Caenorhabditis elegans: one gene and its partner. The protein of the gene in region 1 purifies or fractionates together with the protein of each later gene. This does not show direct contact. Each region holds a gene or a part of one and is shown on either strand. Other genes may lie near its edges.

Region 1 (4,503 bases):
CTGAATACACGTGTTGTGCATACCGAAAATTAATGCCTTTCTTCGGGAAATCCTTCACCTCCCGGATGTGTTGCTCGATCTTGGGTCGGATTTGATCGAAACGTGGAAGTGTCATTTTCAGTCTGCAAAAAATGTTTATTATTAAATATTGAACTGAGATCTCAGCTGAGATGAAAATAGAGAAATAATAAATTTTTAATAAGGTTTCGATGATGTCGACTAGAGTTCAATTAAATTAGAGGGTATCAAAATAATGACAAAGTGACAAATTTTAAAGACAGATTATTTGGAGGTAAATTGAATTTTTATTTTAATGAATTTTCATTCAATTCTTATTCAGGAGCCATGTGATTTTTAATTGAAGAAGCGTAGGCTTTTGAAAATAATTTGTTTTTCTAATTCCAAATATCAACGTTCACATTATAAATTGTGGAAGGGAGGAATATATTTGCATATAAAAGATGAAAAACGAAAGGGAGAAAGCAGAGAAAATGGGAGAAGAGAAAAGAAGTGGGCGGAGTCTGGAGCATCTCCCTCACGGATATCAAATTAGGTTCCGTTGACGTTTAAGTGGTGACTACGCGTTTTTCCACTCAGAAAAATGGAGAAAAGTGCACCGCCTATATAAATGTTTTTTGTATGACTATCTGAGTATCTTTTAAATGGTAACTGGTCGGTTACAAACAAGAAGATACACATTTGATAGCTTATCATTTGAAATTATAACGAATGAAAAATCAATATTAATTGATAAGACATCTAAGATAAGATTGTCTGAACTGCTCAAAGTTCTTATTTTGAATTATGTTATTTAGGATAAAAGGAAAAGAATGCTGTTAGATTTTTCGCTGTTTTTTGAGGGAATAATTGAAAAAAATTGTGTTTTTTTTTGAAAATTGAAAAAAAAAATCGTAAAAGATTACAGGAACTACAGATTTATCGGAATTTTTTACTGAAATTTAAAAATGACCGAAAGTTATTGAATTTTTTTTCAAAAATAAAGAAAAGAACCGACTTTTCAATAAGTCCCGAGGGAAAAGTTTTAAAAAAACACGAAAAGAAGATTTATATCTGGTATTTCTATCCACATTTGAACTCTAAAAAAATCTGTTTAAATCTGATATTTCATTGATTCTACATCACACTAATGAAAACAAAACATAAAATAGAAGAAATAATAGTTTTTTTCGATCAGCTTTTCGATGATTCCATCAAATCTTTGGCCTCGTTGATTTTGGCAGCCAAATATGGAGATCCTCCTGAAAATGAGAAAAACATTTTAAAATCTGGCAATTCATGTTTAATGAAGCTCTAAGCTAATTTTGGAAGAGTAACTCATTATTTGCTGCTTCATTGAGCATGAGTGAGAAGAGCAAATGAGTGGAAAAAAGAGAAAAAGAATTAGGGTTTTTTTCTTAACTTTTTTTAAAGTATGAGGGGTTAAAACTAAAAAGTAAAATATTTTTAGTATTTTGCTCGCAATTTTTAAAAAGGAAAAATCCGAATAAAGTGGGGCGAGACCCGCCTTCAACTTTGCATTTCGGATAACGAAAATACGATACTTTAATTTAAAATTTCATTTCAGAGAAATTAATTTTAATTACCTCTATCTGGATGATTTACAATCATGACTTTTTTATGAGCTTCCTTAATTTTCGCCGGTTTTGCTGACGGCGCAACGCCCAAAATTTTCGCTGCTTCGGCTCGTGACATCTTTTGATCGAAACCTCCACGATAATAGTTGCTAAACTGAAATTTGGCATTTTTAAATTAAAACTTTCAAAAAATAAACACTAACAGCTCCACCAGCAACTGGAATCGCCTCCATTCCTTTTTTAATAAGCGCCTGATTTCGAAGGACATATCGAGCTCCAAATCCGACTGCAGCGAGACCCAAACCGGCAACAATTAAACCTCCCGTCATTTTATTTTTCTACAAAACAATATTTTGAATTTACTATCTTCGGTAATCCTTTTTAGGTACAGAACCTGTATTAAACAGGAAATATCAACAGATTCATCAGAATAAAAAATTTCAAACTATAACTTTATTTTGTATTGGATATTTCAAAGTGTAGCTTAAAATGCTCTTAAACTAGTTCTGGGAATAATGAGAGAGGTGGGGGGGGGGGGGGGGGGGGTGGGAAGAAAGAAGGGCCTGCCTTCTAGAGATGTTAATTTGATAATCAAGAATGAAAATGGGATCCTGTGGAGCTTAAGGTGAGATTAAAAAGAATTGTAAATTTTAAAAATTGGAAAGTTAAACAGAAAAGTGATGAAATCGATAAGACCCGAGAATTTTGTAAATTAATTTTCAAAATTTGGGATTGGAAACATAAATAATATTTGGAACGCAATGTGACAGTTTTTGACCGTAGTTTCGTAAAGTTTAGTCTGTTTTGATTAGTTTGCGATTCCGGTAGGCATAAAGGAATAATTTAACAACAGAAGAATATAGATGAATGAAAGAGAGGATGAAACGAATAAATTAATCAGGTTTCCAGATAAAAAGTTAAAAATTTCATCCAGATCTTCCACTTCCACCAGCGAGCAAGTTTTTATCTTTAACATCTTCATGTTCTTCATCCTGTTGTTGTTGATCCTCAACCATATGATCATCTGCTTCCATTCCTTCCAAATGCATTCGATGTTCATCAACAGTCTCCTCGACAATCCACTCTTGTGGAACTTCTTCCTAAAATAAATTATTATTATTATTACGAACTTTTTTATTATTGTTTAGAAACAAAATCGAACATTTTGATAAGTTTAAAAAAACCAAGATGTTTACTAAATTCGTAATTTCACTATAAATTAATAATTCAAACTTTCTTCCAAATTTGCTCGATGACAAAGCAGTTAAGTTTTTTGGAGAGTTTCGACTGCATTTCCCCAGAAGGTGTACTTTTAAGATAAATTAGTAATAAAAATGGAATTTCAGTTCTCAGTCATTGGTTTTCCGTTTACATAGCTTTGAGAAAATAATTTACAGGTTCAAGATTTTATTCTGCATTTCAAAACATTGAAGCTCTTTTTTTTGTATAATAGACTTTTTTTTAAAACGTACTCCTTCTTGATTATTGCCCACGTGTCCTTCAATAACAACATGCTCTTCGGGCTCTTCAACCATCATTTGACCCTGAAATCCAATAAATGTTTGCAAAAGGGATATCTTATTTTTATTGTTTTATCAATTTTGAAAGTTGTAAAAAAACATATTGTAATTCATATTTAATAAAATGTAATTTAACTGAAAATTACCATATGATCATTTCGATAAATATTGTTATGACCTCCAGCCTCATTGAACTTTCCATAATACATCACATGAATCGAATCCCTCAATTTTCGATTTTCAGTCTCCAACTGACGAATTCTAGCTGAAAATGCATTTTCTCTGGCTTCCGAAATAGTCTTTTCATGTCGTTGTCGTTCGCGATAATATGTTGTCAGAGTCGAGTTCGCCTCATTTGATCTTTCCAGATCCATAATCAACATTCCAAGATATTGATGATATTCATCCTGTGAGAAGTCAGCTTCTTGTAATTCTCTTAATCTCTCAGTATCGACTTTTGCATCTTCTATTGTTTGTTTGATATTATTCTCGATTTCGATAAGAGCATGTTCGGATGCTGTCGGATTTGCACGAGCCACACTTGAAGCCAGACGAACTACTTTGACAGGTTGCAGATTTTTCTGTGATTGTTGACCTTGCTGCAGATGAGATTGTTGTTGAGTTTGCTGCTGATGTGGGCGAGCTGCGGGCATGTTCATTTTCTGAAAAGGAATATTAATAAATTTAATATCTCGACCAAAAAAATTACCTTTACACCTGGAGGAAGCCCATCAGAATTATCTCGTTTTCTTCCAGCAAAGCTGACAATTCTCGCGCCGGCTGGAGAAATTCTTGTCTGAGGTCTCTGCTGAGCTGGCATATAGACATTTTTATTTTGCAATTTCTGAACCATATCCATATTATGTGGGTAACTTTGTGGACGAGGAGCCATCGGACGGCCAACTCCTCTACGAATTGATTGAGATTGTTGTTGTGGAACTTGATAAGCAGGAGCTGATTGACGGTTATCATAGTGATGATGATGCATTGGATTACCACGAAGTTGTGGATGATGATGGTGATCAACAACCATTTCAGTCGAACCGTCGTCTACAATTTCTTCATGGGCAACTTGTTGTTCATCCCCTGGAAAATTTGAATTTAATATACCTCATGCAAAAAGTCGAAAAGCTGTGTTTGCAAAGGTGGTAAATAAAACTCGTAAATATTACCTGGATCACCTCCATCGATAACTAATTCGGCCTGCTCTAAAACATTCATATTCGATGGATTCATAGTCTGGTGACTGCTTCCTGCTCCGGAAGAAGATGATGTCACTGGCGGTGAGTTCGGGCGAAAGTATCGCTGTCGCCGAGACGGAATCATACAGAGAGAAAACCTATAAAAATTCGAGACATGACTTAACACGCCAAGTCGGATAAATGAGG
Region 2 (4,613 bases), on another chromosome or scaffold:
CTTCTCGTGGTGATCAAACCCAATTTATTGTACATCTACAACGAACAATTGAACGATTGGAAAAAGAAAAAGCTGCGTTAACGGAGAAATTGACAATGCGAGAGGATGAGATTAAAGTGTTTTCAGTGGAATTTGTGAATATTCAAAAAGAAAATGTTAAACTAATGAAGGAGAACAAAGCTAAAGAATCACAAATTTCAAACCAATCGATTCAAGTTCGAAATTCGTGGAAATTCGCAGATTTATTCAAGAAAGAGCTGCAGAAAAGTCGGAAAGACGTGTCGGAAGTGAAATGGAAAATTGATAAAATCGAAAAAAAAGTCGGCATCAAAAAGCCTACACCAAGGAAGAAGCCTGATGTAAAGCTGATAAATCCAGAGGATATTTCATTGATGTCTGACAGAACCCAGGATGGGGAAGATTCAAGTGACTTCGGAAGTCCTCTAGCGAAATATCTGAAGCCTGATCAGCCCAGCACAAGTTCTGCGTGCTATGGGAAGCCGTTCTATTTTGAAAGCACCAGCAGCAGCTCCAGAAAGCCCATCACAGCATCTCCAGGCCCTCCAGGCCGAACACAAATTTCGGATCAGCTGAACACTGGAGAAGTTAGATATGTGGTGAATTCAGGAAAACCATTCAATTTTAGCTCGGAAAGTAACTCCAGGAACTTGAAGCTTATTCCAGGATATATTAAGAGACCAGAATTTCGCTATATCAAGCCAGAAGGCTTCACCTCAGCCTCTTACAAAGCTCAGTCAGAAGGAATGAGCTCGTTTTTGAAGACTGGAAGCTCTGCAACTCCTGAAAATTCGAAGAAATCAGCCCATTTTGACATGCCGGATATTTCCTCAACGCCTTACAAATCTCACGTGGTGGTGGAATCGGACGAAATGAATAGTTCTTCGAGTACAATTGGAGGATTTGAGTCAGAAAAGAAAGATAATGGAGCTCTCGGAAGCCAGAAATCTCCTGTTAGTTATAACGAAAAAAATTGCTAAAAAATTTACTTAAAATTCCGCGAAATTTTGCCAATCTGTCAGTATCGATTTTTTCAATTTTTCAGGAAAAAAAAGTCAAATTTTAAGGTTTTTTCAATAAAAAACTTTTGAAAATGAAAAAATCCGCCAAGACGATTTGTTCGATGGGGCGCGCTTGCATTATTTTTTGTTTTTGTTTTTTTGTCCTAATTATTTCACTGAATTCCTTCATGTTTTGTGTATTTTTACTGAAAATTTGAAAAGCTAATGAACAATTTGCATTTATCTTGACTTTTCATTCAAATTTTCAGTGAAAATTCACAAAAAATGAAGAAGTTCAGAGAATTGATGAGAAAAAAAAAACAAAAATTAAAATAATGCAAGCGCGCTCTATTGAACAAAGTCTCTTGGCGGTAATTTGAATATGAAACTGGCAAAAATGGAAAATTATTGCAGATGCCCGACATTGCCACAGCACTTCACAATATATTTGATTCAAAAGAAGTTCAAAGTAGTTCTTCAACCACCGGAAGCTCTGCACCGCCCGAAAATTCGAAGAAATCAGATCATTTTGACATGCCGGATATCTCCTCAACTCTTTACAGATCTCGTGTTGAGCCAATCAGCAGCTCTTCCAGTGGATCTACCAGCACAAGTGCTCCGAGATATGTGCCAAAACCAATAGCCCAGCCAGCTCGATATGCAATTCCAAGTCCGGGTGCTTTGAATGCCTTAAGAGTGAGTGACAGCCGGAATCGCTCAGTTTACTGGAGCGCACTTGCAATAATACATACTTTTTTTTCAGCGTCCCCCAGAATGGAAAGGTCAGCGCCGACATGCGCCGAGTTACGTGAAATCCAGAGAAAGCGTCACGTTCAGAGGATGCTCCAGATTTCCAGTCACATCACCGCATTTCGCGAAAGCTCACCTGGAACCTGTGACTGATGGAAAAGATGATTCGAAAATTGTCAAATATCGATTTGTACCGAAGCGACCAGATTTTGATGGAGAACGCGAACATAAGAAGTGACAAATCTTGGTTTTTTTGTGTTTAAGGCTTTTAGAGCATTGATAATAAATTTTTTGTTGGATTTGCTGTGTTTTTTTGCGGAAATACACAGATTTTTGCAGAAAAAGTTAAGAAAAAACTGCTACAGTTTGCCCTTTTCCACTTTAAATTGCCGCTTAAAAACTCCTCGAAAAGAGTGTGCAAAGCATGGAGACGCAGACACGCACGAAAATCACGCCAGCACGTTACTGGCGCACTTGAGTCATGTGCTGGCGCATTTCTTGTCATGATGAAATTTATTAATTTTTTCTTCGTTTTTTACCAATTTCCGCCGATTTTTCGTTTTTTATTCCTAATTTCTTCAAATTTTGGCAATTTCAGACAATATGCTGCGCAAAGGAGTGTCTTTCGTCGGCCAGGCTGTTCAACAAACGCTGTAAGTTCCTTGAATTTTGAATAACGGTGAAAATCAAATTTTTTCATTGCAGGAAAACTCAGAAAAACTTGCGCATTCAAAGATTCAGCGCCACGGCATCACAATCATCGGAAGAAGTCAATTATGAGATTAGAAAAGACGGAAAGAGACTCAGAGGTAGCGATTTTTACTCTAAAACAAATTCTAAATTCTAAAAACTGATATAATATTTAAAAAAAAACCAGGAGCCGACTATGAAGAAATTGTTCTTACTTCGATTGCCGGCGAGGACAAGACACAGATTCCAAAGGGTGCTTTTGATGTTCTTCTCAAGGAATACGACGATTTGCAGGCCGAAAGCTTGGATTTTAAGGATAAATATCAAAGATCGCTTGCTGAAACTGAAAATGTTCGTCGGCGAGGTATCAAGCAAACCGACGATGCTAAGGTTTTTGCAATCCAATCATTCTGCAAAGATTTACTTGAGGTTCGATTTTTAAAATCAAAATCAACCGAAAAACAATTAAAATAATTCCAAATTTGCAGGTCTCCGATATTCTCGACATTGCCGTCAAGTCTGTGAAGCCAGAAGATCTGGAATCGGGAGGAAAAGCTCTGAAAGATCTTTTCGAAGGAGTTTCAATGACCCGTACTGTCATGGCAAAGACATTCGCAAAGCATGGCCTTGTGACCGTGGATCCAACCAATGAAAAGTTCGACCCCAATCTCCACGAAGCCGTTTTCCAGATTCCATCTGCTAATGTTAGTGCTAACCGCCCGAATTTTCCGAAATAAAAGAGCCAAATCTTGTATTTTTTGAACAATTTGGGCTTATTTAATCCTTTTTAAATGCCACAAAATGCTTAATTTCCTCCATTTTCAGGCCAAACAACCTGTCGGACATATCGAAGTGTGTACAAAGATCGGCTACAGCCTGAAAGAACGTCCAATTCGGCCTGCTCAAGTTGGAGTCGTCTCTAAATAATTTTCTTTTAATTTTCCTCTGGTTTTTTAATGTTTTTCCGGTTTTTTGTAGTTTTTTTTTGAATAGCTAGTAATTTTTATTGTTTTTCTGTTTTTTCCGTTATTTCATCACACTCCAATCACTTTTTCCCGCCGTTTTATAGGATTCGAATGAACAATTTTTGAGTTTCAATTCCCTTTTTTCCACTTTTTCGATAGGTTTTCAGCCATTTTTCATATATTTTTTAATTTTAAACAGGAAAAAAGCTTCTTTTTCATTTAAAACCGTAAAATTTTCAGAATGATCGACACAAACCTTCTTCGGGTGACAGTGTGCGATGAAGGAGAGCTCGAAAAGAGCACAACGCATTTTATTGGGTACCAAATTTTGGATATTTCAAGCGAAAAATGCGATTTTCCAAGCACAAATCGCTTTGTGTCGATTTACGCAGCTCGTGTACTCCTCGAGGAGAAGATTTTTATAGTTTTTGGAGAAAATGCTCAATTTTTGACCAATTTAACATTAAAATTGTCATTTTAATTATTTTAAATGAAAATCGACTACAAATCATCGTTTCCAGCAGTTTTCCATATTAAAAATGCTGAATTTCAGCATAAAAATTACCAAAAAAGCGAAAAATCGGCGATTTGAACGTTAAACTTTTAAAAAACAGCGAAAATGTAAAATCTAGCATTTTAGTCGAAAACTAGTATTTTTCTCCTCGGGGAGTACACGAGCTGCGTAAATCTACATTAGGCGATTTGAGCTTGGAAATTGATTTTTTTTACTCAAAATTGAAAAATTCTGCGAAAAATTTCGAATTTTTTTGCAAATTTCTAAAAAAAAACTTAAATTTCAGCTCCAAAATTATACAAAACTTAATTTTTTTCATTTCCAGATCTCGAAAAATAGAGCCGGAGCAATGGATTACGTGGGCGAGCGAATGCAAATACTTGCCCGAATCTGACGCTGTTGCTCTTTGTGCAACGTAAGAAAAAAGCAATTTTCAGCAATTTTCGGCTCAAAAACTGAACATTTTTTCAGATTAATCGATCGTCTATCACTGGAAGCCAATGTGGTGCCCGTTTCGTCGCCTGTCACAATTTGTGGAGATATTCATGGACAATTTTATGATTTACTCGAATTATTCAAAACTGGTACGGAATCGGATTCGAATTGGAAATGTCACAAAATTGGATGAAAAATTCAAAAAATCAGCCGAAAAATCGAGAAACTTTCCGGGAAAAT

Evidence for each region. Proteins that work in one complex are often made in the same cells at the same time.
Region 2: the proteins of dnj-21 (region 1) and C34C12.8 fractionate together in Caenorhabditis elegans (co-fractionation; one large-scale study listed by BioGRID). This does not show direct contact.

Annotation. Positions count from the first base shown.
Region 1 is NC_003279.8:5,674,257-5,678,759, reverse strand, and holds dnj-21 (Mitochondrial import inner membrane translocase subunit TIM14), read right to left. Parts: upstream 1,934-4,503; 5' UTR 1,925-1,933; coding exon 1,799-1,924; intron 1,750-1,798; coding exon 1,605-1,749; intron 1,260-1,604; coding exon 1,192-1,259; 3' UTR 1,114-1,191; downstream 1-1,113. Other genes in the region: aprt-1 (Adenine phosphoribosyltransferase), read right to left, coding at 24-115; T19B4.5 (uncharacterized protein), read right to left, coding at 2,522-2,695, 3,068-3,139, 3,262-3,777, 3,825-4,201, 4,288-4,351. UniProt on the Caenorhabditis elegans protein: Probable component of the PAM complex, a complex required for the translocation of transit peptide-containing proteins from the inner membrane into the mitochondrial matrix in an ATP-dependent manner.
Region 2 is NC_003281.10:3,458,039-3,462,651, forward strand, and holds C34C12.8 (GrpE protein homolog, mitochondrial), read left to right. Parts: upstream 1-2,367; 5' UTR 2,368-2,372; coding exon 2,373-2,422; intron 2,423-2,474; coding exon 2,475-2,578; intron 2,579-2,646; coding exon 2,647-2,888; intron 2,889-2,947; coding exon 2,948-3,163; intron 3,164-3,284; coding exon 3,285-3,386; 3' UTR 3,387-3,552; downstream 3,553-4,613. Other genes in the region: C34C12.2 (Fibronectin type-III domain-containing protein), read left to right, coding at 1-971, 1,434-1,715, 1,783-2,007; pph-6 (Serine/threonine-protein phosphatase 6 catalytic subunit), read left to right, coding at 3,666-3,742, 4,264-4,353, 4,410-4,522. UniProt on the Caenorhabditis elegans protein: Essential component of the PAM complex, a complex required for the translocation of transit peptide-containing proteins from the inner membrane into the mitochondrial matrix in an ATP-dependent manner.